Tamandua tetradactyla: one gene and its partners. The protein of the gene in region 4 interacts with the protein of the main gene of each other region in a pairwise test. Links are inferred from orthologs where the notes say so. Each region holds a gene or a part of one and is shown on either strand. Other genes may lie near its edges. The genes, in order: UBASH3B, UBE2V1, SF1 and FAM168A.

What was found.
Region 1: the proteins of FAM168A (region 4) and UBASH3B interact in binary tests that used the Homo sapiens proteins (3 or more experiments, as listed by UniProt). The two-hybrid records come from large-scale screens. The link is inferred for Tamandua tetradactyla from reciprocal best matches to the Homo sapiens genes FAM168A and UBASH3B.
Region 2: the proteins of FAM168A (region 4) and UBE2V1 interact in binary tests that used the Homo sapiens proteins (3 or more experiments, as listed by UniProt). The two-hybrid records come from large-scale screens. The link is inferred for Tamandua tetradactyla from reciprocal best matches to the Homo sapiens genes FAM168A and UBE2V1.
Region 3: the proteins of FAM168A (region 4) and SF1 interact in binary tests that used the Homo sapiens proteins (3 or more experiments, as listed by UniProt). The two-hybrid records come from large-scale screens. The link is inferred for Tamandua tetradactyla from reciprocal best matches to the Homo sapiens genes FAM168A and SF1.

What each region holds. Positions count from the first base shown.
Region 1 is NC_135334.1:18,101,891-18,109,871, forward strand, and holds the start of UBASH3B (ubiquitin-associated and SH3 domain-containing protein B), read right to left. Parts: upstream 3,012-7,981; 5' UTR 2,917-3,011; coding exon 2,756-2,916; intron 1-2,755. UniProt on the Homo sapiens protein: Interferes with CBL-mediated down-regulation and degradation of receptor-type tyrosine kinases. Promotes accumulation of activated target receptors, such as T-cell receptors and EGFR, on the cell surface.
Region 2 is NC_135327.1:2,664,868-2,672,570, reverse strand, and holds the start of UBE2V1 (ubiquitin-conjugating enzyme E2 variant 1), read right to left. Parts: upstream 3,008-7,703; 5' UTR 3,000-3,007; coding exon 2,897-2,999; intron 2,699-2,896; exon of another isoform or gene 2,593-2,698; intron 1-2,592. UniProt on the Homo sapiens protein: Has no ubiquitin ligase activity on its own. The UBE2V1-UBE2N heterodimer catalyzes the synthesis of non-canonical poly-ubiquitin chains that are linked through Lys-63.
Region 3 is NC_135335.1:9,768,775-9,776,467, reverse strand, and holds the start of SF1 (splicing factor 1), read right to left. Parts: upstream 3,018-7,693; 5' UTR 2,873-3,017; coding exon 2,473-2,872; intron 1,124-2,472; coding exon 995-1,123; intron 1-994. UniProt on the Homo sapiens protein: Necessary for the ATP-dependent first step of spliceosome assembly. Binds to the intron branch point sequence (BPS) 5'-UACUAAC-3' of the pre-mRNA. May act as transcription repressor.
Region 4 is NC_135334.1:72,424,082-72,431,205, forward strand, and holds the start of FAM168A (protein FAM168A), read left to right. Parts: upstream 1-4,109; 5' UTR 4,110-4,373; intron 4,374-6,248; exon of another isoform or gene 6,249-6,337; intron 6,338-7,124.

The DNA of each region.
Region 1 (7,981 bases), about 54 Mb from region 4:
AGCCTTACGGCTCAAGGGAGAGGCTTCTCATAAGCAAAGCCTAATGCTTTTGCTCTCTTTCTTCTCACTGTTCCCAAATGAAGTTTAAGCCCTGGACTCGGGAATCTCAGATAGCCCCATGAAGACGTATCACTTCTTCCCAACCTGAATTATGTTATGAAGGAGAAGATGGCAGCATCAGCCATTCTGGGTTGAGGCGGAGGAGACAAAGCCTGGGCAGGGTGTTGACCTAGACCTGTGACCTCCAAGCCTTTTCGAGGCAGAGAATTTAAGAAAGATGGAGCAGTAAACCCAACTCACAGCCTGTTTGATCATGACCTACTCTTTCACGTCTTCAGGAAGGAAAGGCAGTGCTAGTAATCATCAAAGTAGCTGCAATAGGCTGAATGGTAGTCCTCCAAAAGATATCCATGCCCTAATTTGTACAGCCTGTGGATATTACCTTATAAACTAAAAAATATTTTGCATATGTGATAAAGGATTTTGAGATGGGGAGATTATCTTGGATTATCTGAATGGGCCCTAAATGCAATTACTGTGGCCTGATAGGAGAGAGACAGGTAGAGTGAACATAGCTAGAAGACAAGAAGGCAGTGTGACCATGAAGGCAGAGATTGGAGTGAGGAAGTCACAGACCAAAGATTTGTAGTGGCCACCAGAAGCTGGAGGAGGCAAGGAATGGATTCTCCCCTAGAGCCTCTGGAGGGAACACAGCTCTGCTGACACCTTAATTTCAGCCCAGCAATGCTGATTTTGGACTTCTGGTGTCCAAGAACCATGGGAGAATAAATTCCTGTTGTTTTAAGCCACCCAGTTTGTAGTCACCCAGTCAGTAGCCACAGGAAAGGAATGCAGTCGCTCACACTTAATAATTGCCCACTATATGCCATTCACTTTTCTTAGCTTTTTACATGCGTGAAATCATTTACATCCTGGCTCTGGGGCCTGAGCTGTGCAGACCTGCTGCCTGGGTCTGAACAGCAGCTTCAGTGCTTAGGGTTGTGACCTTGAGCGAGTTAAGAAACTTCTCTAACCCTCAGATTGCCAATTCATAAAATGAGTATATTGGGCTGCTGGGAGGATGAAATGGATAATCTGAGGTCAAATGCTCAGAATGGTGTATACTAAGTATTCAATTAAAGTTGGCTCTTATGGGATCTCAGAGAGTAAGCCAGCCAAAATGAGAGCATCATACCAATCTGTCAGGACATGTACAAGTCCTCCTGAACCCAGCACAGGAATTGAGATGTCCCTTTAAAGCCAGTTTAACTGCAAGCATGACAGTCTAAGTAGTTAAGTATTTCCTTCCTTAATTAAGCAATTTAGGCTTCTTAACCCTGGCTTCAGCCTCAAATTCTACAGCATTTCCCGGCACTTCTGGAAAGCTATGCACATCAGCTCATCCCCACGAAGGAACTACGATGCAGCATTCACACCTGACACACTCAGCACAGCCCACCACACCTTCTCCCTGTAATTCTGTCATTGCTAACACGAGCCCATGTGGTTGGACGTGAATGCGAGGCAGAAAACCACCAGTCCATTTTGTGGCCTTCCAAGGCCAATCCAACCTGTCTCAGGAGGCAGGACTGAATGGAATGATAAATTCAGGGGTGTGCTTTAGTTAAGAGGGTAGAAAAGAAGAGAGTGAATTAGTTTTGCCAGGGGTAGGGAAAGGGAGACCCAGCATTATCACCTGGAAAAAAGAAGAAGAGAAAAGAAAGCTCTTTCATGAACTTGACCCTTCTGATAAAGTTTGCTGAACTCTCCCATTTGGGTGATGTAATTCATAGAGGCAAAGAAGATGAGCCCCACAGGATCCCAGCCCTTCATGTCCCCACCTAAGCAGACTGCAGGGGCAGTTTATCTGGGGGAGATTGGCCTGGCCTCACGGTCTTGAGTTGACCACCTTTAAGGAGACACCTGCTGTCAGCCCCCCTGTGCTTGACAACCAGGCCTCTTCCCAGTAGGCGGCTGGGACTGCCACATGCACCTGTGCCTACCTCTGCCCTTCCCCATCCCACCTTCCAAGGAGAGGAAGGATGAGAGAGGACAGCTCCCCCCTCCTCACTCTCAGGCACCCACAGGTTTCTGCGCTGCCGTCACCAGTGACGAGAACCCTGGTCCCCTGGAGGAATCGCTTTTCCCCATTCCATCCTCCCTATCAATGAACACGCAGCAGCACCCACGCTCCCGCTCCTCCTACTCCGGAGGGAAACCGAAGCGGCAAGCGACATCCGGAGCTGGAAGTCACTGCAGTGGGGGCGCCAACCTCCCTGTCCCGCATTCCCTTGCCTTTTCCCAGCTGGTCCAGTTTTCAGGACCGAGAGGGTGCCCGAGTCCTCTGACGGGCCCCGCCTCCCCACGGGACTCAGCGGCGGACACCTCACTCCGGGAGCGCGCAGGACAGCGCCTTCGCCCCCTCCCGCGGGGTGGGGGGTGGGGGGGATGAGGGTCGAGCGCCAGGCACCGTAGCCGGGGTTTCGAACCCTCTGTCCTCGCCCCACAACCCTAGCATCCAAAGGCAAGCCTCCGGGCCAGGGGTCTCTGCGCGGCGGCGTGTCCCCCAGCATCCCTGCCCGGAAGAGATGCGTCCGGGGCTGCCCTCGCTCCCATTCCCGCACTCCGCAGGTCGTGGGTTAGTGGGCAGCGCGCGGCGGGTGGGGCAGGCGCGGGGAGGCAAGCCGGAGCGGAGCCGAGGGGTCTGCGCGCGGGGCGGGAGGGGGCGCCGAGGGCTGCGAGCCCGGACACTCACGCGCGGGCTCGGGGGAATCCCATGGAGAGCAGCACGTCCAGCGCCGATCCATGCTTGATGGTGCCGGGGCGCTGCTGGCGATTCCTCCGGGGGGTGACTTTGCTGTACAGCTCTTCTCGCGCGGCCATGCCGAGGGGACCCGGGCTGCCGTACTGAGCCATGGCTCAGCGGCCGCCCATCGCCGGGAAGACGCCGCAGTCGGATGGTCCAGGTGGCAGGCGCCGAGCGGGGCTGAGCCCGCCGAGGGGGGCTTGGGACACCGGGAGCCGGGCGAGAGGCGGCGGTGCAGGAGGCGGCGGCGGCCGCTCTGTGTTTCCCCGGTGTCGAAGCTCTGACGCTTCCTGGTGAGGCCACCGGAGCCAAAAGCGCCTTCGCGCTGCCTCCGCGGGTCCCGCCGGCGGCTCCTGCAGCCCCGGTTGCCCCCAGCGCTGCGCCCGCAGTGGCCCTCACTCCTTCGCACCCCCCCTCCCGCCCCGCCTTCTCCTCTCCTAGCAGTCCGGGAATTTGCAATGAGTAATTTTTGAATGGATCAAAAAGGAAAAGGAACCCTGGTGGGCTGGCCCTGCCTCGCCTGGACCGCGGCCCCGCCCCTCTCTTAAAGCGGCAGAGCTGCTTCTGGGAGGAGGATCCCAAGCGGCCCAGGCTGCCTGTGGGCGGCCGTTCCTGCGGGGCGACCCCCCGCCCCCGCCTGCGCCCCAGTCTTTTCTTGGCTTATCAGTCAGTTTGGGCCTGAAGACGCTAGATCGATCCATCTCGAGTTTCGTGTGGTTCTAGATGGGGCTAATAATGGAAACCTGGCAAAATGATGGATGACACTAATGGATCAGAAAGCCAAGAGAGAAGGCTCAGATAAAAGGCTTTGCTTCTGAAAGACCCTGCCAAACCCAGAGGATTGCTAAGGCCACTGGAGGCCGAGTTCCCACCCGCGGTCAAGCGACTAGACTGAAGAGCTACTGCACCCTCCGATAACTGTGGTCAGTGACTTTGGATAAAGACTCTAGGGGAAGGAGTGAGGCCTCCTGTTCACAGAGCTGGCAGGATCTGTGAGGGGAAGGGAGAAGCGAAGGCGGAAAGGAGATGAGGGAGAGGAGGAGATAAAAGGAGGAAGGGGGAGGAGAGGGAGGAAGTGGAAGGAGGGTGGAGCACGAAGGGGGACAGAAGAGAAGAAGAACCAAGAAAGAACAGAAAACGGACACTTTTTCATTATAAGTGCTGTTCAAACTAGAATGGACTGATTTTTGTGGTAGTGAGTTCCCTATCAATAAACGGATTCAAAGAAAGACTAGATTACCACTGCTCAGTTAATCATGAAGGAATGAATTGCATCATAGGCTGGACAAAACTATTCTTACTTCAAAGAAGCCTCTCCCTACCCCAAGTTGAATTCTTGATATTCTCACAAGCAGTGCGGACAATCAAAGCTATAAGCTGAGCCCCCAATCTTGGGGTTTGTTCATATGAAACTTAATCCTAAAAAGGATAGGTCAAGCCTACTTAAAATTAGGCCTAAGAGTCACCCCCAAGAGAACCTCTTTTGTTGCTCAGATGTGGCCTCTCTCTCCAGCCAACACAACAAGCAAATTCACCACCCTCCCCCTGTCTACGTGGGACATGACTCCCAGGGGTGTGGACCTTCCTGGCAACGTGGGGCAGAAATCCTGGAATAAGCTAAGACTCAGCATCAAGGGATTGAGAAAACCCCTAGAATGAGCTGAGACTCAACATCAGGAAATTGAGAAAACCTTCTTGACCAAAAGGGAGAAGAGTGAAATGAGACAAAATAAAGTGTCAATGGCTGAGAGATTCCAAACAAAGTCAAGAGGTTATCCTGACACATTAAATAGATATCACCTTTTGCTTAAGGTGTAACAGAGAGGCTGGAGGGAACTGTCTGAAAATGGAGAGCTGTGTTCCAGTAGCCATGTTTCTTGATGATTTTATAATGATATAGCTTTTACAATGTGACTGTGTGATTGTGAAAACCTTGTGTCTGATGCTCCTTTTATCTACCTTATCAACAGATGAGGAAAACATATGGAATAAAGACGAATAATAGGGGGAACAAATATTAAAATAAATTTAGATTGAAATGCTGGTGATTGGTGGGGGTAGGGGTGGGGAGTATGGTATGTATGGATTTTTTTCTGTTTTCTTTTCATTTCTTTTTCTGAATAGATGTAAATGTTCTAAGAAATGATCATGATGATGAATATACATCCATGTGATGATATTGTGAATTACTGATTATACATGTAGAGTGGAATAGATAAAAAATTATGAATGTTTGTGTTTGTTGGGTGTTTTTTGGTATTTTTTAAAAAATTAAACAAACAACAAAAAAAGAAGCCTCTCCCCCAGCCTCATGGCAGAAACGTGACTGGGAAATGTTAAAATTCTTTCATCAGGAGGTAAAGGACAAGGGCCCCACTAGGTGTAATGAAAAAGCTGTGGTTCCCTAGGACTTTGCCAAGAGACCCTTAGGGGCTCTTTAAGATCAGGGGGTGGAGCTGAGGTCCCAACTGAAAGTTGAGTGGGTAAAACATGGAGCCCTTGCTGCTTCTACCTAGCTGCTCCTGTTTCAGGGGTAATAATAACAATAACAAAATTTAATATTTATTGGGCTCCTGTATATGCCAGTCATTGCGCTAAGCAGAATAACTGAATTAACGGTTAACTTTTTACAACCACCCTGTGGGTGTGTACTATTATTATCCCAGTTTATAGATGAGAAAACTCAGCTCACAGAAGTTGCGGAAGCTTAGAAAGTTTGTATATGCAGAGCCAGAGGTTTCACCTGCTGGGGTGCCTTTGCCAAACTCTCCATTCTTCAGCCCTGTCTGTTACATGCGTGGATTATGATAAGCTAGTATGATGCTTACCACACAAAATGTTCTCCAAAAATGTTCCTTTCTTTTCAAACTGCACGGAGGGTGGGATAGGGATGGTGACCAGCACTTGAGTTACTTTTTGATGTTGCTTCATAAGGCAACTCAAGGTTTTGCCAGGGGAAATGACACAGCTTATCCCTTAGCCCAGAATTGGTTTTCTGAAGAATATCCGGTGGTGTTTGGAAATGGGGAGATACAGGCTATTGCGGCTAAGCAACTACCTCCTGCTGGGTGAGGGATTAGGGGAAGTTCCTATTTCTGGGGTGGGAGCTTCTTCCCGAGCAGAGGGCATGTTCTAGAGACCTTGCAGAGCACTATTCCAGGACATGAAGGAAAGGGATGGAACTGAGCCTTGAAAACCATACCTTGTGGACTAGTGTCTTGGGAATGTTTTCAGTAAAGGACCCTGGACCTTACCCAATGTCCTGAATTTCTTAATTCCTAGACCAAGAGAGAGTCAAAGGATCTGGATTCTAGTGAAGAAGAGAGAACAATGTCCATGGCAGTGTTTTGGAAACCAGAAAGTATTATACAAATAATAACTCAAATATATTGAGCCCTTATTGAATGCTGATGCGGTTCTTAACTTCCTACACATCGATAACTCATCCAATCCCTCAACAAGTCTATGAAGCGGCTACTACTATATTATAGTTCACTTTACAAATGAAGAAGCTGAAACAGAAAGAGGTAAAGTATCTGGGCCGAAGTCACAGGGCTAGCAAGTAGCAGAGCCAGGATTTGAACTCTTAACATTTGACCATATAATCACTTTTCACCATTGCTGTGATGACAAAAAGGCCTTGTCTGCTGAAACGGCTGATTCTGATGAACTTTTTACTCCTCCAGACACTGAAGTGCTGGATCTCTATTTCTCTAGAAAAATTGAGTTAATTGTCTTTTCCTTTCTGCTCCAGGCAAGCTGTGAAATGGAGGAAATGACGACTATAAAAATAGCTTTAGGTAGCCTGGAGAAAACAGTATGGAAAAGCAGGCACCTTAGATACAAACTGTTTTGTCTGGGGCACTTGTACAGAAATTTCAGCTTAGCTTCCCCCATCCTTCTTCAGCCAACAGCACTTGTTTTATTTTGGACTGCTGTCATTTGTCCTGCAGGGGAGAGGGCCCAGCAACTAAGATTCATTGTGCTTTAATTGTGTTGACTTTGAAAAGCTGGAGGCAGCTTTTTAGTTGTCCATTTACTGCAAAGAGAGAAGCATGACAATTCATCTGACAGTGTATCTCTTAGCCGTGGGGAGGGATGGGAAGGGAATGCGAACTTGCACTGAGATGGGGCTGACACATCAGCTTCAAGCTGCTCCTTCAAAAGAGAAGGCAAGTGGTCATGTCCCCTTGCACCCACCGGTCATGTCACAATCACCCTGAACCACAAAGATCTTATAGTTCGTGTGAATAAGGTTTAATCTCTGTTCATGTGATGGCTCTTCGGAAGTGGCCATAGGATGCTTGGGATGGGCTTGGTTAGCTGCACTCGCAATTTCTGGAGTCTGCCCTAGGTCTTTTCCTTCTCCTTTCCTCTCTCCTTGAGAAAAGGTCAAGTGACTGCATTAAGAAGAGGCAGTAAATTCTGCATGATGTCTGCAGTTCCAAGGGCTGACATGTTGCCTTGGCAAATGAAAGCAGTTTAGAACCTCTGGAAATGCCTTCAGCCATTCAAGGAGAGTCTTCACAGCCAGAAGATTTTGGAACCATGTGCTAAGGAAGAAAGGAAGGAGTTTGGAATGGTTGCAAAACCCCAAGTGTTAGTTCTCACTTGAATTTTTTCTCTGCCCCTCTCTGGGTCTCAGTTTTCTCAACTGTCAAATGAGAAGGTTGGTTTGAGCTGTGGATCCCTAAGACTTTGCCAAGAGACCCTTAGGGGCACTTTAGGATCAGGGGGTGGAGCTGAGGTCCCAACTGAAAGTTGAGTGGGTGAAGCATGGAGCCCTTGCTGCTTCTTCCTAGAACAGGTACACTTAATAATTTTATATCTTAGGGGTTTTGTGTAAGATTTTCTGTGGGAAGAGAGTTAGGGGTATCAAAACATTTAGTAAAATACTAAACTAGATGATCTTTAATGTCCATCATTAAAGAGAGATCATACATAATTCAATATAAGGAAAGGAAAGGGGGAGAGGACGGTGGTTTTCTCTCTCCACCGTGGCGTGTGCTCGTCCATTGATATGGGTATACTCTGTAAAGGGAGAAACATAGGGGAAATGTTACTTTACCTGCTGCATTCAAGGCTCCCATTAGACCAGATATTGTGAGCTTTGTTCACGCCAACTTGCGCACAAACAACCGACAATCCTATGCTGTCAGTGAGTTAGCAGGTCAT
Region 2 (7,703 bases), on a different chromosome or scaffold from region 4:
TCTTAGCACTTAGTACTCTTTTCTCTGCCTAAGGGCACAGGTCAGATCTTGTAACTCTGCTTTTTAGGACTCCCATTCTCTCATTTATTCATTCATTCACGAAATATTTACTGAATGCCTGCTTCATATTGTTCAATGGCTATTCAAAGGCACTGTTCAATGCCTTCCCCTTGTATTCAATAAAATCCAAAGCCATATACTCTCCAACTCATCTCCTTAACAAGCCTCCCTTGTATATTACACTTTTATCCTGTTCTTCCAACATGCCAAGCTCATTCCTACCACAGAGGCTTTGCACTCACTTCCTCTCCTGCCTGTGGCACAGTCTGAGGGTTCACTCCTTCAATCACTGCCTTAGTTCGAACTCCACCTTATCAGAGAAGCATTCCCTAACAACTTCTCCAGATGTTTGCCATCATACCACACAATCTCCTTTATAGCACTCACTGCTATCTGAAACCATCTTATTTATTTCCCCCTTAAAGCCTTTCTCCCCCACTAGAACAGAAGCAACTCAAGGACAGGGCCCATATCCATCTTGTCATTACTTGCAATGGGACATAAAAGGACCTCAGTAAATACTTGTTGAATAAACAAAGGAGTTTTGGAAAGTCCATTTTAGGATACCTTAAAGTCTGTTCTGTTATCTTAAATCACACCAAATGCTCTTATATTCCACTAGCTTGACACTGAGAATGCTTTACAGCATTTACGAAGCACTCTTCAATTGGTAGGGCCTCAAGAAGTCAGAATTAAGAAGCTGTTAAACCGGATTGTAGGAAGCCAGTCTCGAAGGCTGAGCTGCAATACCGCCATAACGCTGGCTGCCATAAGCCCTACCATCCCCTAGTTCCTAGCAACCTGGCAGGGGTGTTTTTCTGATGAGAAGTTTCCCACAGAAGACTGGCCTGACTCAGCCTCTATCTTCTGGGAGTGTCTGCGGCAGTGTCTCAGCAAATGAATTAACTCAGCACTGTTCAAACTTAAAAAAAAAAAAAAAGCCTAGGAAAGGAATGTGAAGTCTCTATATCCTCCAAACAGACCCACTGCTTTGAGTGTCAAAGGCAGGCTGTGGTGGATCACTTTTGTCAGACCTCCAATTCCTCACCCTAACAATCACAATAGGATGGCTTCTTGGGGTACTTGATGACCTTCAGAGAAGAGCAACACCCTAGAAATACGGGCTGCCCACACTCAGTTCCTCGTTGGTCACCAACCCTCACCCAACACCGTGGCCTTAAACAGCCTGGGGATTTTAAGTTGGTGTCCCTGCAGGCATCGAACTCTCTTCTCCAGTGTGGTCGGGTCTGCCTCATCCATCAGGGGCTACCCATCTTCATCCCGTCTGGGAGAACTTGGCCAAGCCTGCTGTCCTTACCAAAAGAGGAACACTCTGTCTCCCCCAAACTCTGCTCTTCCCCAATCTGATTCTCTGGTTTCATCAGCCATCACCCCTAGCCAATCTCCACCCACCGCCTTGCCCCCCCCACCCCCCCGCAAAGGCCAGCTGAGCCCACCCCCTGATGTCCAACCTGTAGAGTGTTAATCCTGAAACACACCTTTTGGAGTTTGAGCCTCTGGTCCATCACGGGGAACTGAGTATCAAAATAAGTGTTGTCTCCCTCGACCTATCTAGAGACTGGAAGGAGACCCCCCCCCCCCGCCCCTGCCTCCCCCCAAAACTCCCTGTTTCTGCTGTCCATTCAGAAGTGGGGGTTTGCTCAGCCTTTCTTATCCAAACAACTACCCTGGTGCTCCTATTTCATCTGTTTCTCCCCCTCAACTTCCACCTCCAGCCATTGAGAAACTTCCCATCTGAACATACATATGTATCTCCAATATCCAGAGGTGGAAGGGAGTGAGGTGCAGGCAATCTCTGCAAAACAGGCACTTCTAAGGTATGTTCCCACCGTCCAATCAAAGAGGAGATTTTTCTTCTCTGAAACATCTCTGCAACCTGACCTCTTCCCACTCTTACCCGTTGCGAGGGGCTTCCCTCACTTGATCCCCTCCCCCTCCCACAGACACCCCTAGTTTCCACCCTGTTCCCCTCACCCAACATCGGAGGCTTCCAGGAACTGCCCAATTCAGAGCTTGCCTTCTAAAATCTAACTCGGAGGAACCCATCTGTCCCTTTGAATAAGTGCCTGGTAATGATGGGGTCATTTCACTATCAGTCACCCCGACAAGATCCCTCTGGAATCTGACTCCATTTTCCCCTTCACTCATCCTGTGGAGATACCCTTATTCTCCTCCCAAAGTAGCGACCCCTGGCTTCCTCCTTTCTAATCAACACGCAGATTTCCTCAGCCAACCCCATCCCCAAAACCGACTGGAGCCCCTTAACCCATGGGGGCGGTCCTCTCAGGCATCCCCTCAAGATCCGTTTCCTCCTCCCATCCATCCTGATGGGCTTCTCTGATGTCTCCTCAAAACCAATATCCCACGGCCCCCTCGTCACCCGGGCTCCCAGCACCCAGTCGGGCGCTCCTGCCGCGTTGGGGGTGCATGCTCATCCTCTAGAGAACCCCCCTCGAGCTCTCCCAAGGCGCCGCCAGTCCCAGCTTTCCCAGCTGTGCCCTCAGGGCTCACCCCGGCCTACTCCGGTTTCTCAGCAGCGCCGCTGGGCCCGGCCCTTCCTCCCAGAGGGACCCACAGGCCGCCCGGGGGAGCCTCTGGGCCTTGCCGCGCCGCCCACAGGCCCCTCAGGCCCCCGCCCGTGCTTCCGGCCACCGCCTGCTCCGCCTCCCTCGTAGGGTCGCCCTGGTTGCCGCCTCAGCGCCCAGAGGACGGAGGCAGCGCAAGTGCCCTGGCCTGGCTGCAAGGGTCTTTGTGAGTCCCGGGTTCCCGGCCCGACCCCGCGCCCCGGCGGCTGCGGCCCGGCGCCCCCGCTCACCCGAGCCCGTGGTGGCTGCCATCTTGCGTCGCTGTCGCTCGAAGGCCGGCCCCTTCTTCACCCCCCGCCCGGCCCGGGTCCGCATGCGCAACCGCGCGCGCATGCGCAGACGCCGTCGCTGAGGCCCACTCCGCGCACCCTGCGCCGGGTTGTCGGGACGGTTTTTACTTTCCGTTTTGAGAGAGGAATTACCCGAGGAGAGGAGTCCCTCCGGGCGCGGTGCGAGAGAGGCACCGAGGTGCTTGGTGAGAAGGGCTAGGGTGCTGGGACTCGAGAGGGAACGCGTCAGAATCCAGCCCCGGTCACCCGGGCTTTCCCGGTCTGTCAGGGCCTCCAGCGGCCGCGTCGCCGGGTTCTGTGACAGCGCCAGGCGCGCGGAGGGTCGCACCCACAGCCGCTGCTGGCCGCGGCCGGCTTGAAGGGGCATGGAGCGGGCAGGGAAAGCAGTCGCCCATCCACGCCTTCAGACATAGTTAGTAAGCACCTACTGTGTACCAGGCGCTGTGCCAGGCACCGGGGTGGACGAACATCCCTGAAGAAGTAAGTTCCCGCTCTTAAAGGCTTACGTTCTAGTCAGAGGAGATCCACAGAGAGACAACTAAATAGGAAAGGACATTTTTTCTTATCATGGCTATGATCGAAAGGAGAGTAAATCAGAGAAGGGGCGGCAGGGGTGGTCACGGAGGGCCCCCAGAGGCGGTCGCGTTTCATCCGAACCTGCAGGTGAGAAGGGGTAGAGGAAACAGCAAAGGCCTGGACACAAGTTAAATCCAAGAGTCCCATGGGCTCTTATCCGGATCTGAAGACTGGACTGACAGGGGAGAAGGGACGGGCTCAAGGTCCGCATCTTAAACCCGGGAGACGAAGGACGGGGGGGGGGGGCAGAGAAGCTGGAAGCGCTGGCCAGGCGCGCCCCTGCACCGCCTTGTTCTGACAGGAATGCCTCGGAAGCGTCTCTCAACTCCATCCCCTTCTCCCACTCGGGGCAGGCGGCCCTTGTCTCTGATTTGATGGCCGCAGAGGCTTCCGCTCTTGCCCCCACGGGCCGTTCTCCATGACAGATCTGCTCAAAACACCCTTCTAAAGCCTCAGTGGCTCCCCGTTTCTCCTGGGTAAAATGCAGACCTCCAAACTGAGGAACCATGGACTTAATCGTCCAGCAGGGACAGTCATCAGGAGGAAAGGGGCCTGTTGGAACCTTGCAGAGTCCACCAGCTCCGGCGTGGATCAGCTTGGACGGCCAAGCTGCCCGCGAGGCCCTGGCGGCCCTGTCCGCATCCCAGAGCTGCTGTGGGCTTCTCGAAACCTGGACCCCGACGTGCCCCTCCCTCCTTAGGGCCCCTGCCTGTGCCGTCCCCTCTCTGTCTCAGGAACGCGGGCGCCGCACGGCCGCAGGGAGCCTGCCCTGGTCTCTCTAGCCAGGTCTAAGCTATAATCGGCTCTCTGAGGGCCACGCGTGATGCGCCCTGACGTTCATCCGTGTATCGCGGGGCTGCCTGGAGGAGATCCCTGCGCTGGACTCTGGGTCGTGGTAGCGTCTTCTGGAGGGAAATGGCCGCGGGGCAGCCCTCCCCCGCCGCGCGCTCTGCTGTGGGACTTACCTGTCCTGACTTCGGTTCCGCCTTCTGAAAAGGGGGACAATAGTATCCGCCTTTTCGTGCGGTAAACTGACAGTAAAGCGAAGTGTTGCCCCGGAACCCCACGAGCCTGCCTGGAGTAGCGACCAGCCCACGCGGAAGAGGCCTCCCCGGGTGCTGGCCGGCGCACGCTGGGGGTTGTGGTGCCCCGCCCGGCCGGCCCGCACCCGCCCGCGGCTGCTCCCGGCCGGCACCCCGCCCGGCCCTCCCCCTGCGCTCGGCGGCAGGCCCCTGCGGCCCCACCCCGCACCCCCCACGGCCCAACCCCGCATCCGCCCGCGGCCCCGCCCGGCTCCGCTCGGCCCCGCTCAGCGTCAGCGCTCGTGGCGCCAGCGGCTGGGGCAAGAGCCCTGCTTTATCGGGTTGCTGGGATGAGTGAGACATCACTAGAACTGAGGGATTTAGGAAGTGCCCGCACGGAGTAGGGGCTATGTGAGTATTAGCGCCTTTTAGCCTCCTTTTGTTTTATCCTCAGTGACCGTTGCAAAGTCACTATAAAGACGTTAGTCTCCGTTTTTCAGGCGAGGAAACTGAGGTTGGGGCGAGTTAAATGCCTCTCCTAGGGTCACACAACAAAGAAAGGGGGTAAAATCAGGTTAGAACTCATGTCCCTTAACCCTGTCCTACCTGCCGTTTTCCCTGTGAGGCAGGTGGACGTCAGAGGTTTTAAGCAGGACATGGGCAGGTTTGCATTTTTAGAAAGTGCAGCCTGGCTGTCTCAAGGAGACGGATGGGGCACTCTGGAGGGGAGGTGTGACAGACGCTGTTGGCTGCCAAACCTAGTATTGCTCAGAAACGGGTGTGATGCTAGGTGTGAATCATGATTTGGTCAAGCCAGTCATGGGGACTGCTGTTTCCTTTTGCCAGTGATTTGTCCAGTGGTGTGCCTGTGTCCCTGTTCTGGCCAATTAGCCAGGGAGGGGGATGTTTAGAAAGTTTCTCTCCCCTTAATACTAGCTAGGGAGAGAGCCTTTTTGTCCCTTTTCCTTCTAATGACCATATGAGGTTGTGATGGTCAGAGCTGTGGCAGCCATGGTACGATGCTGATGCACATGCCTAATGCCAAAAAAGCTAGCACACCAAAGATGCCAGCACAGAAGGATGGCGAGAGTTAGGTCCTGGATGGTATGAGCTACTGAAGGAATCCTGAGACTACCTACCTACAGACTTCTTAAGACATGAAATAACAACTGTTGCTTTAGCTGTTCTTAGAGGTAGGTCTCTGTTACTGACAGCAAAAAGTACACTTAACAGATTCAAGAAGCTGGTGCAGGAGTCCAGCCAAGAGATGTAAATTTACCTGGATTGTTCCATGGTGTTCATTCAAAAACTCTAATCTCAAAAAGGTAGGAAAACGCCCAGGCTACGAAAGGCGTTTGAAAAAGTATATTCAAAATGTAAAACCTTTCAACATATTTGTATTTGTAGTCTACATAATATTCAATATAGTTTATAAGATCTATATCTTAATTTTTAAAGCAATGCTTCTCAAACTCTGATTACTAGAGATCTTGCTGAAATGCTGTTTTAGTTTCGTAGGCTGCTTAAAGCAAACAGGAAACGGCTGTGTTAAACAGTGGAAATATGTTTGTTCAGATTTGAGGCCAGGAAAAATGTTCAAATCAAGGCATCCTCAAGATGTTGCTTTCTTCCTGAAGACCGGCTGCTAGCAATCCTTGGCTTCTCTGTCACATGGCAAGGCACAGGGTGGCATCTCCTGGGCTCTCCCTTCTCCTTCAGGTTTCCTTGATTTCAGCTTCTTGCTTCCGTGGCTTTCTCTGTCTGTATTTCATTCTTGTGTAAAGGACTCCAGGATAGGATTAAACCCATCCTGAGTGAGGCAGATCACACTTTAGTTAAGTAACCTCACTTAGAACAGGTTCACACACAGGAATGGATTAAATTTAAGAACATTTTTTTTCTGGGGTACATACAGCTTTGAACAGCCACATGCGGAATCTGATGTCCGACTTCCAGGGATGGCACTGGGATTCGGCATTTGTAACAATCCCCCAGGGGATGCCTCTCCGATTGACAGACCATACTTTGGGTAGCAAGGTGTGGACTGCATCCTATAATGTTATGGCTGTACTTTTACTTATAGTTAAGGGAAAAAAAAAACCCTCCTGCTATAGCCTGTATAATAAAAACTATTGAAAGTAAAGCTGACAAATTGTTGACAGGAAGGGCCACAGACCACCAGAAAATGGATCATAGAATCCCTGGGAGGAGTCTGTGGTTGACAGTGGGCATGACACATTGGCTGGTGCTGTTTTGACACATACATGGACCCATGGACCCCACGTGAGCCATGCACTACAGCATTAGGCACAATTGTGATTTTCATGTGCGATGTGTAGATATTTTATATAAAGGTAGATCCTTTACGTAGTTGCTAAAATATGCTACCTAAAAGGGTTAGGAGTGGATGGGTAGGGGTCATGGTGCTATCTGGTTTGTTTCTGTTTTCTTCTTCCTATACAATTTATTTCTGTAATGTTTGAATTTTGTACTTTTATGGTCAGGAAAAAAGGGAATAAAAACTAGGGATACAGGGCAGGAGAATGACAAAACGGATGAGTTTCCTTCATTTATAAAGAGCTCTTGCATTTTTGTCAAGAAAAAAATGAACCCAAAAGAAAGCAATAATCATAGCAAACATTTATTGAGCATTTACTATGTTCTAGGCACATAGTATTTTGTACATATTAATTCATTTTATCTTCACAACAATCCTATGAGGTAGGTACCATTATTATCCCTATTTTACAGATAAGGAAACTGAGGCACAAACAGGATAAGTAACTTGCCAAAGTAACACAGTTTATAAGTGGCAGAGCTGGGATTTGAGATAGAGATCCAAATGCCTTTTAAGCTCATGATAAGACACACCCAATCTCATTCTACGTATTGTATTTCATTGAATCTAAGTTTTACATTCAAACATCTCTGGAATCAGGATGCATCTTACAATGGATGATATCTTAGATTCCCTGTAATTCGCTAAGAGAAATGCAAATTAAAACCACCTATCAGATTGGCAGAGAACAGAACATTCGATAATGTACTCTGTTGGCAAGGGTGTGAGGTAACAGGCACTCTCAAAAGTTGTTGTGAGAGTATAAATTGGCACAACCCTTGTAGAAGAGGATTGGGAAGGAGGTATCAAA
Region 3 (7,693 bases), on a different chromosome or scaffold from region 4:
AAACATAGGAAATGAGGATTCTCAAAAATAACATGCTGGTCTTGAAGTTTTCTGACAGCCACAGAGCTTCGTAACTCTAAAAGTAAAAGGCCTTTGCCCTAATTTCCTCACAAGGGGATGTTTATTTGGTTAGTAGAAAATCATATTTATCAAATAAATGTTGCTAAGACAGCAGCACAGGTAAACGTAAAACTTGCATTAAAACCCTTGTAGTTAAAAAAAAAAGGTAATCCTGAAGTTAATTTCCATTAACTGTGGACAGTCACTCTTAAATCTTGAAATTTCCCAACAATTAAGATCTTTTATCCTACCACCTCATTTCATTTCGAAGCAGTATCCCTTTTTCAGAAGAGTCCTTTAGTAATGATACAAGAGCCTTCATTTTAAGATAGCTCTCCAAAAACCACACCAGAAAAGATGACAGGAAGGTCAACAGAATGGTAAAATGGGTGAACTGTAAACACACTTTCAGAGTCACTTTTTGTTCAAACTGAGTCCCCCCCTCAGAAAGTACCTATAAAAAGTAAAAGACCACATTTTAGGGAAAAGGAGGAATATGAAATTATGGTGAAAGGCCATGCTGAGTGAAAAATTACTTGAGTTTACAATACCTGCAGTGTTCGCCACTGGGGCTGTGTCCAGAGGCACAAGGCACTCACCTCATCAACTGGTAAGGAAACTGAACAGCAGCTGAAAAGGATGGGGGGTGGGGGAGGGGGGCCTTCTGGCCTGGGAACTATTCTCACTCCTAAGTGGGCCCCTCTACCTTCCTGGCACTCAAGGAGAACAATGGTGTTAACAGACCAAAACAAGGAGCTGCAAATGCAGGACCCACTAAGTAAAAACTGATGTATTATGTGAAAGTCTTGAAAGTACACCTGAACATAGCGCTTTCTCAAAATAGAAAACTTTAAAACCTCAAGTTTCCAACAGACAGAAATATTGCTCTGAATAACAGTATGAAAATGCATTTGTATGCAGAACGTGTATTTACCTATATAAGCTCTTTCTTGTTCCCGAGTAAGTCCAGGGGGGATAACTGTTGGCATTCCTGGGATCACTGTCTTCTGTTCCATTGTGTCCTGGTTCCAGCGGCTCCTCTTCCGCTTCTTACTTGGGAAATCTAAAAGGAGATAAAATCCATCAGATGCAAATATAAACCAGCAGAGTAACTACCAATAGGCAGTTAAGGATACTTAGGATATTACACAAATCTCGGTAGACTGTGAAACTGAAATGTTAACCAAAAATTTAATTAGCAAAGATAAACCTCATAACTCAGATGCAAACATATGGCTTCTGCCTGGATCTGGGTCAAAAGAAGTAAACATTTCATGTTTAGAATTTTCCTCCATAAAAACAATGTAAGGTGTGTATACAAGGTAACAAATCTAAGCACAAAGTTTCAGATAACAAAATAAAGTGTTGAGAAAATACACACTACATCTGTCATGAAGTCTTGAAAGGCCCCAGGGGAAAACAAAAGTAGAGAATTAGGAACAAGTTAAAGCAATATTGGAGAACTGCTGCCTCCTCCCATCTCCACCTTCACCAATCTCTTCCTGAATGCACCCAAAACACAACCTACCATAACACACTAGTAAAGGAAAAAGCTCTATTTAGATCATTTTTTTCTTCCAATGGTTAATCAAGACTAGCATTCAATTTTCCCTGCCAAGACCTTCACAATTTGAACTCTGAATAGATGTATTACAAACTCAACAAAAGTTATCAAAAGTAGCCAAACACTGTTTCCCCCACACAAAGGCAGAAACTTCTTCACCACGCAAAAACTATTTCCCAAAGGACACAGGTCTCCAGAGAAGACCCTTTAAAGGAACAGTAAGGGAAGGCGGGGCAATCAGACACAGAGCTCTGGAGCAAATGAAGTGAGAGACTAAGAAATAACAGCTAAGGCAGAGTGGACCAAAGAATCTCTCCCCCCACCACCAAAAAAAAAAAAAAAAATAGAGCCAAAAAAATCAACATCCCCTGACTCCCAGCCCTTTTAATTCTTACTGTAAGGAGAGTGGCCTTGCTCGCTTCCCTCCCTTTCAGGCCACTTATTAACGTGCCCAAATTCTAGGACCAGGAAAGGAACGTTCCCCGTTGTCAGGTGGCCATCCCACGCCTACCCGGCCTCCACACCCAGCACCCCGCCACACCACGGGTCCCTTACTCTAAGGGCCTCCCGTTTTTCGAGTTGCACTGCCAGGCCTGGCTACCACATTGCGCCTGCGCACAGCAAACCTCTCGTCCACCCCCCCACCCTTTCCGCCTCCCATCAGCGCGCTTGCGCGCTACAGGCTCCGAGTACTGGGCCGCGCGCTCCCTGCAGCGCCTCCGCCCGGGTCTCCTCGCGCGCGCGCGCGCGCGCCCCCGCCGCGTGCAGCCACCGTCGCCACTGCCGCGCGCCCCTCAGCCGGCCGGGCCGGTCCGCGCGACGCCTCTCGCGCTCTCGGCCCGACTCACCTCCTCCCCCGCCGGCCCGGCCGGCCTGCTGGTCCTGACGCGGCGGCTGGGGTGGCGGCGGTGGCGGCGGCGACACGCGCTGGTAGAGCGGCGGAGGAGGAGGAGGGGGCGGCGGCGGAGGCGGGCACGAAGAACCGGGAGGCGGTGGCGGCTGCTGGGGCGGCGGGGGGGGCGGCGGCGGGGGAGGCGGCGGCGGTAGCGCCGCGAAGGGGAAGGCCGCGGTCAGGGCCCCCATCGATCCCACGGGCGGCGGTGGCGGCGGCCCGGACCCCGGCAGTCCCGCCCCAGGCCCAGGGGCAGGCGGCTGCCCCGGCTCGAAGGCCCCCTTGGACCCGGGAAGGGGGGGCATGCCGGGGGGGGGCAGCTTACCCAGCGGCGTGGCGTTCGCTCCGGTCGCCATGGCGCCCCCGGGGACCGGCGCCTGCGGCTGCTGTTCCTCAGCGGCGGCGGCGGCTTCTTCTTCGCGAATCTCCCGGGGGGAGGGGACCCGACTGCGCTGCCGCGGAGCGCGCTGAGCCCGTCCTCTCACGCGGCGGGCGGCGGGCGGCGGGCGGCGGCGGCGGCGGCGGCGCGAGACGCACAAAGAGGGAGGAGAGAGGGCGCCGCGGGGGCGGGCCGGGGGCGACGGGGCCGGGGCCTTGATTGGCCCAGACCGAGGCCAGGGGTCGGGATCGGCGTCCCCGGATTGGCGGAGCCCTTGCCTCTCTCGATGTGCGCTGGGATTGGCCGAACCGTTAGGCCAAGAAAGGAAATGGCGGCGGAGCCTCGTGAGCTGAGAGGTGTCGCGGCACTCACTTCATTTGTTACTGCGCGAACTGAGCCCCGAGTCCAGGAAAGAAGGTGCGGGGTGGGGCCAGCTCTGTGACGTGAGGCTGAGGCGCTCCCTCATTGGCTAATATTGATTGAGTCAATCAAACTAGGTTGCGTCGTAGTGTCGTAGGATTGGCTGCAGCTCGTTTGATTCCTTTTCTTCTCCCCTCCCCCAGGGGGCAGTTTCGGCTGGATTGGAGGAGAAGTCGCGGCGGAGGAGCCCGGGAACGAGACTCTGCGGGGGGGGGGGGGGGGTGGAGCGGAAAGGACGGGGGCTGGAAGTGCGCAGGCGTCAATGCCGGGGCCGCCTCTCTGCCCCACTCCCTTTGCGGTCAACCCCGGGGCCTGGCGCGGAAGCCCTCGGTGACGTCAGGCCTAGATCCCTATGGTAACCCGGAACCGTGGGGCGCGGGGAGGGGCCGGCGCGGGCCCCAGCCGCAGATCCGTTGACGCTGCTGGTTAAAAGGAGATTTAAAAAAATAAGTAGAAAACAACAACTTTTAAGTCTTGGTGAAAGATTTTAAACAATACCTGAGCCGATGCAAGAATGTATAACCTTGGCTGGAAGACACTGTAAAATTGTGATTCTAAAATTAATTCACGAATGTATAATCTTTCCACCAAAATCCCAACTGGGTTCTTTTTTGGTGGGGAGGGAAGCGGGATTTGATAACATCACCTTAAAGTTATATAGAAGAGTGACTGAAAATCGTGGTTTCCCACTTGTCGAAAATACTGAGGTCTTGCCTTCCAGATTGTCAGCATTGGTATATAAACTCAGGAGTGAAAACAATTTGATGTTGCGTTAACAAAGTGGAAAGTAGTAGAGTCCTGAAATAAATTTCCCCAGATAGCGGTAGAAATACCTGAGGTAGTATTTCAAATCAGGCAGAAGAAGATTTAGTTAATGTATGGTATAGTCTTAAGTATAAACAATGATCAAACATCTAGAATACAACTTAGCAGATTTATAAAAATATTCTAGGAGTTGACTTTATGAAGACAGGAAACTTGGAAACCATAAAGTAAAGATTAAAAAAAAAAAGACATACTTGATCAAAAAAATATAAAACTTTGTATGGTAAAAGTCAATAGAAAATTTACAGATTAGAAAAACCATTTGCCACACGTATGACAGATAAAGAACTAGTAACTCTGAAAAAAACTCAAAAACTTAATCAGAGAAAGTGAGCAAAGAGCCTGAATGGGCAGTTGTCAGATGGACAAGTCCAGAGCCGGTAAGGACTTTATTTGAAAGGATCATTGCAAGAGTATAGGAAAAGAGAATATACAACAGGGAGAACACTGACTGCCGGTTCAGCAGAGTCTCAAGAGTTAGGCTAAGAGGCTTTCCGAGAGAGGGGTGTAGACCCAGGTGTGGGGAAGTGGGATAAAAGAGTGGTGTAATCAGAGAATGGAGGCGAAGGCCAGCCTGTTTCCAGGAAGGACTGTGCTAGCTCCGGCTGAGGATGGGCTAAAGTTCAGGGTGCTGGAGGAAGAGAGAAGCTTAACCAAAGTTTGGTTAACAGGCATTTTGTTCTGATCAGTCCAGCGATGAATTGAAGAATGAGAATTTGGAGAGTCTGTGTCCGGTCCCCCATACCATCTGGGAGTCTTATCTAAATCACTTCCGGAAGGGGGGTTCTTTGCAGTGAGCCCTTTTTCCGGAGCACAGAGTGGGGGGATTTCTTAACTTTTGCTGTTTTCCGGGATCACAGCCCTCAGGTAAGATTTGGCATCCTCACAAATCTCTAAAAAGCAGATAGCCAAGAAATGTGAAAGGGTTGCAACAGTCCTAAGAGGGAAATGCAAATTATGGCGACAATGAGGCTCTTCATATAAATAGCAAAAAAGGAAGGTGGATAAATTTCCTTTTTTTGGAAACCAGATACCCCCCTTTGAATCCCATAGAGAAGCATGTGATTGCATCATGTGTTCAAAGTCATTCACTTCGAATTGTTTGCAGTGGCAAAATCCTGGAAACAAAGTGATTTTCCAGTAGTATGTGAATGGTTGAACAAACTGGACTATCCACAGTCTGGACTATTAGGCAGCCTTGAAAAAGAGTTAGTCACTACCAACTGACTTGGAGGGCCTTTCCTGCTGAAGTGTTATTAAATGAGAAAAGCAGCATAGAAATATATATTCCTTGATCTTGTTTTTGCAAAACAAACCTCATACATGTGTGCAAGGGCATTCGCACAGGGTTCTGTATAGGAAAAGCTAGTGAAGGATATACAGCACTGGTTCTCAGTGAAGATGCAGGAGTGGGGGGAGAAGTGAGCCTGGAAGTTATCTAACACATTTTAAGAGCCCAATATAGTTTTTTTTAATATGCTTCATACTTATAGAATATGTGTGACACTAGTCCATTTATATAGCATTGTATAACTCTGTAGGCATAGATTCACAATGGACAGTCCCAATCTCTAGTAGCACGAATCTCACGTAACTTTTGCTTTTTTCCCTTATACTTTATTATTTTTATTTTTGTAAGGAGCAAGTATGATTCCTATAAACAAAAAAAAAAAAAAATGAAGCTAATATTGCAGACAATAAAGGGGGGAAGTGATGTTTAAATTGTTTTGAAAATGAAGGGCGGGCCACGGTGGCTCAGCAGGCAGAGTTCTCGCCTGCCATGCCGGAAAGCCGGGTTCTATTCCTGGTGCCTGCCCATGCGAAAAAGAAAAAAAAAAGGTTTTGAAAAGGAAATATTTATCCAGTAAATACAGCACACTTAAGAAGACTGACCAGACACAGTATTAGCAAGGAGAAACTGGAACTCTTCCTACACTGCTGGGTGGGAATGTAAAATGTTGCAACTGCTTGGGAAGACTGTTCAGCAATTTCTTGAAATACTCCCCTGCAATATGACCCGGCCATTCCACTCCAAAGTAGTTACCCATTAGAAGTGGAAGTATATATTGACACAAAGACTGTACATGAATGTTCACAGCAGTTTTATTTGTAATAGTCCCAAACTGGAATCACTCCCAGGTGCCCATCAGTAAGCGCTGGCTAAACAAGCTCCATGCAATGGAATACTACTCAGCAGTAAAAAGGAATAAACCATTAACACATACAACAACATGGATGAATGTCAAAATAATTATGCCAAGTGAAAGAAGCCAGAGAAAAGTAGAGCATGTGCTGTATGATTCTATTTATATAAATTCTAGGAAGTGCAAATTAACCTATAGTGACAGCAGATCACTGGTTTCCTGGAGACAGGGAAGGAATGGGGTAGGGATTACCAAGGGAAGAAACTTTGGGGGGTGATGGATGTATTTCATTATCTTGATTATGATGATGGTTTCATGGGTGTATGCATATGTCAAAACTCATCAAATAGCACAAGGCTTACTGTACATCAGCTATGCCTCAAAGCGTTTTTTTCTTTTTAAAGAAATAACAGCAGCCACAGGGCAAGGGTTCTACCCACAATTCTGTAAAGCAGAGCACAGATGTGATTCATAGGTGATTTCATCAGTCTTTCATCATCTAAGAAAGGATTCTTTTGGTACTTTTGTTTTGTTTTAGCCACTATAGGGTTTTGTGGGGGGGTTTTAGTTATTTTTAAATATTTAGAATTGCATTTTATTATATCAGATGCATAACAAGAGATGTGTGGTGCCCCTGAGGGTCAGGAACTTAGTTACAAACTGAACCCCCTTGAACCTGCCACCCCACCCGAGAGCCGAGATACTACCAGTAGCTTTGCAAGTTCCTGGGTCCTCCCTCCTCCCATGCCCCAGTGCCCTCTGAGGACCACCACCGTGAATTTTGTGCTTTGCTCCTCCTTGATTTAATAGAGTTTTATCATGGTGCATGGAATACCAAACAATACATGGGTTAGTTTTGCTTTTTAAGCTTTATAAAAATGGTGTCAAAGCACGTATAGTTTTGTGCAATTTGCTGTTTTAATGCAGTATGACATTTCTAAAATTCACCTATGTTGTTCTCTGACAGCCCAGCAGGTAAGTTTAAGATACAGTATATGGGGAAAGATGAAGCTTAGCAAAGACCCAGTTCTGGACACACTATGGCAAACACAGCCAATCCCCCGCCATCACGAAGGCACGCTCTGCTTGTCTCCTCTCCCCTTGGCCCTCACCTCTAGGACCCCAGGATTATGGGCCAATTCCCCCAACATCCTGGGTGCCCATGCATTTTCCCCTCAGCCACAGGAGTGATTCAGGCCAATGTGACCCCAGCCTGAAGAGGGCAATTTGACATTAGCTATGACAATGACAAGTATGGCCACCTCTGATCCAGCCATGTCACTTCCAAGAATTCATCTCATAGACACACTGGAGTATGTACAGAGCAGCGTGGGCGTGAGAACATGTATTGCAGTTGTTTGCAATATCAAAGAAGTAGAAAGGACTTAAATGTCCATCAACAGGGACCT
Region 4 (7,124 bases):
GGGAGCAGGCTAGGGGCACTAGGAAGTTAAGGTAAAATGAGTGCAGGGTTTCTATTTTGGGTGAAGGGTAAGTTTTAGTAATGGATGTTGGTGAGGGAACTGCAACATTGTAAATGTGATGTATCCCACATGGTATATTTGTATATTTGGGAGGGGTTGGGATGGGAAGGTTTGTGTTATACATGCGTTTCCAAAATTAAAAAAAAAAATGAAATAAAGATAAACTAAAGAAATTATGACAATTAAATGCAATACATGATCCTGGATGGGATCTAAAAATGGAGGAGAAAAAGCACAAAAGGACATTACTGGGACATAAGAAAAATTTGTAGTATAGAATGTAAGCTTCATACTAATGTTAAACTTCTTGTACTTGGTACCTGCACCTAAGGTGATTATATAAATGATTATCTTAGTTTGTAGTGAATGAACATGGAAATATTATGTGTTCAAGGAGTATGATGTGTGCAACCTGCTCTCAGATGTTCAGAAGATAAGAAATAGAAAGAAGGGTGGGCCATAGCTGCTCAGCAGGCAGAGTTCTTGCCGGCCATGCCAGAGACCTGGGTTCGATTCCTGGTGCCTGCCCATGCTGAAAAAAAAAAAATAGAAAGATGCTAAAACGATACAGCAAAGATGGCAAAATGTTAAATTTGGTGGCTCTGGGTATCCATCTGGGAGAGGGGGGGTATGGTGGAGTCCTCTGTATGCGGTTTGTATTATTTTTTCAACTGTAAGTTTGAAATTATTCTAAAATAAAAATAAAAAAATTCTATTGAAAAAGATAACTGATTAATAGAATCTTTCTTATATAATTTAGAGAGAAAAGAATAGCTCTGGGTGAAAAGTCAATATAGAAAAAAATAAAGTTAGAAGTTGTTTAAGTGTGCTACACAGAAAATTCATCAACGAATAAAACCGACTTCAATGTATTAATTCCTTAAATACTTTCTTAATGGAATTCATTAATTTTGCTGTAATTCTGAGTAAAAAGTTTACATTGTTTAATTTGGCAGAGATTTGGAGACAGAATTCTAAAATTAGATAAAGGGTCTGGACAATAAATGGTCCTTTACAGTCTTGGAAGCACTTTCACACCTATTGTCTTACTGGATTCTTTTAAAAGCTTTATGGGGTGGGCCATGGTGGCTCAGCAGGTAAGAATGCTTGCCTCCCTGCCATGCCCAAGGACCCGGGTTTGATTCCTGGTGCCTGCCCATGTTAAAAATAAAAGTAAAAAGCTTTATGAAGGTCAGTGCAGAAATAATTCCTTCCTTTTTATAGATGTGGACATTGAAGTTCACAAAGTTAAGACTACTTCAAGCTCACCCAGCATAGCAAGGTCTGATTTATGTAATTTATATAGCTTCTTCATTCCTATTCCTCTAATGCTTTGTACCCTGGACAGACCAGCACCCTTCTAATTTTGACCTCCCAGGCCCCACTATCCCCCCCTGGAAAAAGTGGGGAAAAGGAGAAGTAAAGTCAGGGTTTAGAAGAGAAGATGGTCGATACTACACTTAGAGATGGGAAGGGACCTGTCCATCACAGAGCAGTCTCATCTTATGCTCAGAAAAGCAAATAGAAGATTTAGGATTTCAAGGCCGGAAGAATAGGATGAAAAACGAACTAGGAAGTTTGAAAACGACAGTGCCTGATGTACTTGGGTAAAATAAATCCTGAGGGGTAAGAGTATAAATGGACCGAGATGGGACAAATCTGGAGATAGGCTGCAGCAGGACAGTTATCTTGGGAGCTAGGTAATCTAGGCTTTTTCCTAGTGGGCAGGGTAGTGGAGCTCGAATATCCCGGTGTTTCTTGCAGGACAGCAAAAACACTAACATACAAAATTGAAAATTTTAATTTATTTATAATTTTTATAATTTAATTTTAAAAATTTATTTTAACTTTTTTATTGTATAGTATAACATATATACAAAGCAAAGAAATAAAAAAAATAGTTTTCAAAACACTCTTCAACAAGTAATCACAGGACAATCCCAGAATTTGTCATGGGCTACCATATGATCCTCTCAGATTTTTCCTTCTAACTGCTCCAGAATATAGGAGGCTAGAGGACTTACATATTTTTTTATCATCACAATAGACTTTTCCCCCTTTTTTTGTGAAAAATAACATATATACAAAAAAGCTTCAAAATTTAAAGCACAGCACCACAATTAGATGTAGAACATATTTCAGAGTTTGACATGGGTTACAATTCCACAATTTTAGGCTTTTACTTCTAGCTGTTCTAAAATACTGGAGACTAAAAAGAGATATCAATTTAATGATTCAGCATTCATATTCATTTGTTAAATTCTATCTTCTTTATATAACTCCATCATCACCTTTGATCTTTCCATCCCTCTCTTTAGGGGTGTTTGGACTATGGCAATTCTAAATTTTTCTTATTAGAAGGGTCTGTCACTAATATGGGGTAGAGATATGGAACTATCTGATGTTCTGGAATAGCTGGGCTAGGTTTCAGTACTTATCTGGATCAGGGAACCATCTGGAGGTTGTAGGTTTCTGGAAAGTTACTCTAGTGCATGGAACCCTTGTGGATATAATTTAATTTTAATTAAAATACAATGTAATTGAATACATGATTTATGCTGAATCACAGATAATCTGATACTGCACTCTAGAAGAGATGGACACACAGGTGGTCGAAGGAAAATTCTCCCTATTAACTTATTTTATTTTCATCATAGTGACCACTATTATTTGTTTTACCAGTGCAACTCTTGAGCTCACAGAAAAGCCAGATAGGCATAGACCTGGAATATTGCTAATGACGAGAAAACTAAAAGTTTTCTTTAGTTTGCTTTAGACTTTGAAATTGTATTTTTTCAAACTAGTCTTACAGCCTAAAAAATAAATATATATGAGCTCCTTTTAAAAAATTCAGACAACATGAAAATAAAAATTACTTGAAATCTGACATCTTTCCCTCTAAGACAATCACCAATAATATTTAGGGGAACCTCTTTCCTGAACTCTCTATGCTTATAGAAGAAGCAACTTCAAACTTCGCATAAATCGGACCCTTCTAAATATGCTATTTTGCAATCAACGTTTCCTCAACAGTGAATTGTGAATAAGCTCTCCATGTCAATAAATAGATCTATACCATCACTTTTAATGACTTAGCACTTTATTGTATGTATATATAATTTAACCAACCTTCTATTGATGGACATATACATTATCCCCACACCCCTACAACCTCATGTTCGATCATCCTTTTAAGGTTAAGTTTTTTTTGGGGGGGGGGGGGCGGTGCACGGTCCGGGAATCGAACTCGGGTCTCCAGCATGGAAGACCGGAATTCTCATCACCGAACTACCCGTGCACCCTAAGGTAAGTTTTTAAAAGTAATGGAGCTGAGTCAAGAAATACACCCTTTCTGCATTTAAATTCAAATTGCGAAATCGTCCTAAGATTTGCTGGGAGACCACTGACGAAGCTGCTGCATTAGTCCTGGTGTTAGACATGTGAACCGGAATGACAAGTAGAATACAGACTCACAAGTCATCTCGCCCATCTGGGCTTGTCCTTGCTGGGTTGGCATATTTCTTCCAGTTTTCCTCTTTTTCTTAACATGGGGGAAGAAATGAGAACTGCCTCTCCCGGCATTTCGCAGGGGCCACACTTATTCCAAACTGCAATATTGGGTCTGAGAAAGATCCGGAAGGCGGGCCGGAGGCTGCGTGGAATGCTGGGAAATGTAGTTCATGGGTGGCTGTATTCGTGTGTGTTTGTGCGTGGGTGTGCGCGTCTATATGCGTGCGCTAGTGGGTGTCGGGGGGAGGGGCGCGTGGACACACCGCGAGATTCTTTACTTGGAGATGAAGCTGCCGGACAGCCTGACTTCCCTGACGTATGGTCACTGTGTTTACAAAACCCGCCGGCGGATGGCTGACGTTATTCTATTGTCCGTGACCAAGGAGGGCGCAGTGCTTCTGCACTGAGCGCGACGCTAGGGCTGTAGGCCGCTCGCAGGTTGAGCGGGGAATGCTGGGAGTTGTGGTCCTAGCGCGCTGAGACCGTGGGACGTGTCGCGGCGCCGCGCTTGCTCCTCCTTCCCCGCCCATCTCAGCGGTCTCCCGCCCCCTCCCTCCGCCTCCACCTCCCTCGCCCCGCTGCCGAGCGTCCCCTCCCCCCACCCGTCGGGCTCCTCGGCCGCTACTGCAGAGGTTTCAGAGCCGAGTCGCTGAGGAGGAGGCTCCAGGACCCTGCGCGCCATCCGCCACCCTACAGGACACGGGCGAGGAAGCGAGAGCGTCGCCACTACAGCCGCCAGAAAAGACAAGGACATCGCCGTCTCAGCCGCCGCCACCCCCGTTTTCGCCTGCAGCCTCTCGCTGGTGAGGAAACCCCCCTCCCCCCTTCCAGGGTCCACTCGTCCTCAGCCCCGGCCGGTGGTACTGGGGGAAATGAGGGTGGGGGCTGCAGAGCCCCCGGGCGGGTTGGGGGGAGGGGGCTGAGGTCGCGTTGGAACGGCGGGCTGACGAGGGAGATTTGTCCAGGCGCGGACTGGGGGTGGGGTGGGGGTGGGACCCAGCAGGGTGCGGTGGGGGAAGATGAGGGAAAGGGACTTTTAATGGGGAATGACCCTAGTTGGGACGGGAGCGTAGGTGGGAGTCGCATGGGGTTGGAATTTGGGAAGGCCTTGGGGAGAAGTGGGAGATGAGACTGAAGTGGGGTGGCCTTTAATGGGGGAGGGGGCTGAATGAAGGTGGTGGTTTTGAGGTTGGCCTGAAACAGTTGACAGCTTGGGGTCCTAGCTGGGTGGGGGTTAGGGACTTGAATTCAACAGACTGTGGGATGTACAGGGCTTGGACTGGACCCTGGAGCGTGTTAATTCAGGAGGAGGGAATGTGGGGTGGACCGGGGTAGGCTGATGGAGGTGGTAGGAGCTGGGGCTGAGGGTCTGGCAAGGTTTGAGATCTGAGACCGGAGTGGGCATTTGCCACCTGGGGGTGGTGGAATTTGTGGTGACTTATGGAATAGCAGGGCTTGGGATAGAGCAGAGGAGGTGGAATTCAGTTTTTCCTGGGGTGGGCTGATGGAGGTTGGAATAATTGCAGATAGGGGTAAGGCTTTTAGTAAGAGGAGTGTAATGGTGAGCTGGCGGGAGGAAGGGAAATTGAAAGTTAGGTCCAAAATGGACTGACAGGTTTTGAGATTGAAGGGAGGCATAGTGGGTTGGGATTTAGGGTGATCTTTGAACCACTGTAAGAGGCATGATGGCTCCCTGGGGGCAGGTTCCAGGCAGAGGGCACTGAAGAAGGGCCTGGGCTGGACTCACTGAAAGAATAGTGGCAGGTGGTGAGCATGGTTGTGGAATGGTATGTTGAAGAAAATGTCCTTTAGCCAAGGTGGAAGAGGGAGTTTTGGAGAAGTGTTTGAGATAACCTGGTTGGACTAGAGCAGTGGTTGATGATGGTGAGGCGGCAGAGGGGGAATTTAAAGAGTGGAAGACCTGGAGTTGTGGGAATAGATGGGTCACAGAAGATGGAAAGGGGTAGTGAGCAGTGCTGGGAAGAGGTGGGTTGGGCCTCCAAGAGACACAAGAGGGTTAGGGGTTGGAACACTTAAATGGACATCTTTGGTGGCTGTGGTTGGTTAAGAGGTTTCTTATAGGAGGCTTTGTAGGGAACAGAGAAGGTGGTACATTAAAGATACATTCCTAGAGAACCTCTTAAGAGGCCTTTGATCTTATTGTTTGTTTCATTTTTATTAGAATCATATTTGGAAGCGAAGTCAACCCAGAGGATGAAGTTGAGAGGGGTTTCTGTTAGGGTAGAATTAAGGAAGGGGGTGTGTGTTTTCTTTCTGTTAGTTCATATATCACAAAAAGAAAGTTGGAGGAAAAAAAACCCACCCCCCAAATAAAGGTGGGTGAAGATGGAAATGGAGTGTGATAAATATCTTTCTGTATGATGTCTCTGCTTTCTCTTTTCCCCTCCTCTGGTGCTCTTAAGAACTAGTTCTGGAATTTTAAATTTAAATAGATTTGATGAGATTGAGGTTGTTAAGGGAGCGTCCCTTGCTTGAGAAGTGATGAATGGGACTGAAAAATATGAGACTGGATTTATTTTCTAATCAGCAGCGTGCATTTATATGGAAAGAAAGCGCTTAGGGCCTCCACCCCCCCCCCCTTTAAAATTGATTGCTTGAAGACTCCATTTATTGGTATCTTGGTTTGCAAGGCAATTAGGCCCATCATTGTATTGCAGGGTAATAATCCTGAGATGAGCCTTGGCACCACTGCTTTATGTAAACAGAGAGAAGACAGAAAATATGGAAATGTCATAAATATTCATTGGTAAGACGGTTTGGTAGTGATGGTTTTTTTTTTCATTTGATTCTCTTTTGACATTACTTGATAAGATTTAAAATTATTGGACTATATTTCTATAGTTTGATTTTTCTCCTGCAGGACATTCAGGTGATCAGAATTTTGTCAGATGTAGCCAAATAAGCATATAGAGTCATTTTTATTTTATATTTCAAGGGATGGTGTTGATGTAGGCACATTGCATTAACCTCAGAAATAATATCTCCATTTCTTTATCAGAAATTTGATGTAAAGCTTAGTGATGTTCACTCCCATGCTGGATGGTGATGATGGAAGATAGAGAGGGGTTGAAGGAGGAAGCATCTTTAGAGAAATAGTTTTCTGACTGTAATTATATTAACTGTGATATGTTAAAAACATGAAGTGGCTATTGATTAGAGCTCAGACTAAGAAAAAATGGGGAAGGATAAAATCGGCACTAGTTGGATTAAAATCTTTTTTATTTTTGTTCACACTTCGAAATTCAGCTTGCAAACCATTTTCCCTGGCTTTCACAATTGAACACCTAAAAAAAATCCAATACTTAGAATTTTTTGTAGTTCCAAAATGGTCATAATATGGAAGGTTGGATTACTCTTGAAATTTTGAAAGTGTTTTTGTGAGGAGGATTTCTGTGTTACAGTAAAAATCAGGTTTGAACAGTTGCCCATAATTCTATGAGAATGTAATCTGACTTATGCAAGCAATTCTCATAACTTTACTCTGGGGTCTAGACATTACTTTTGTGGCTCTGCAGGCTTGATCTATAGGTGGG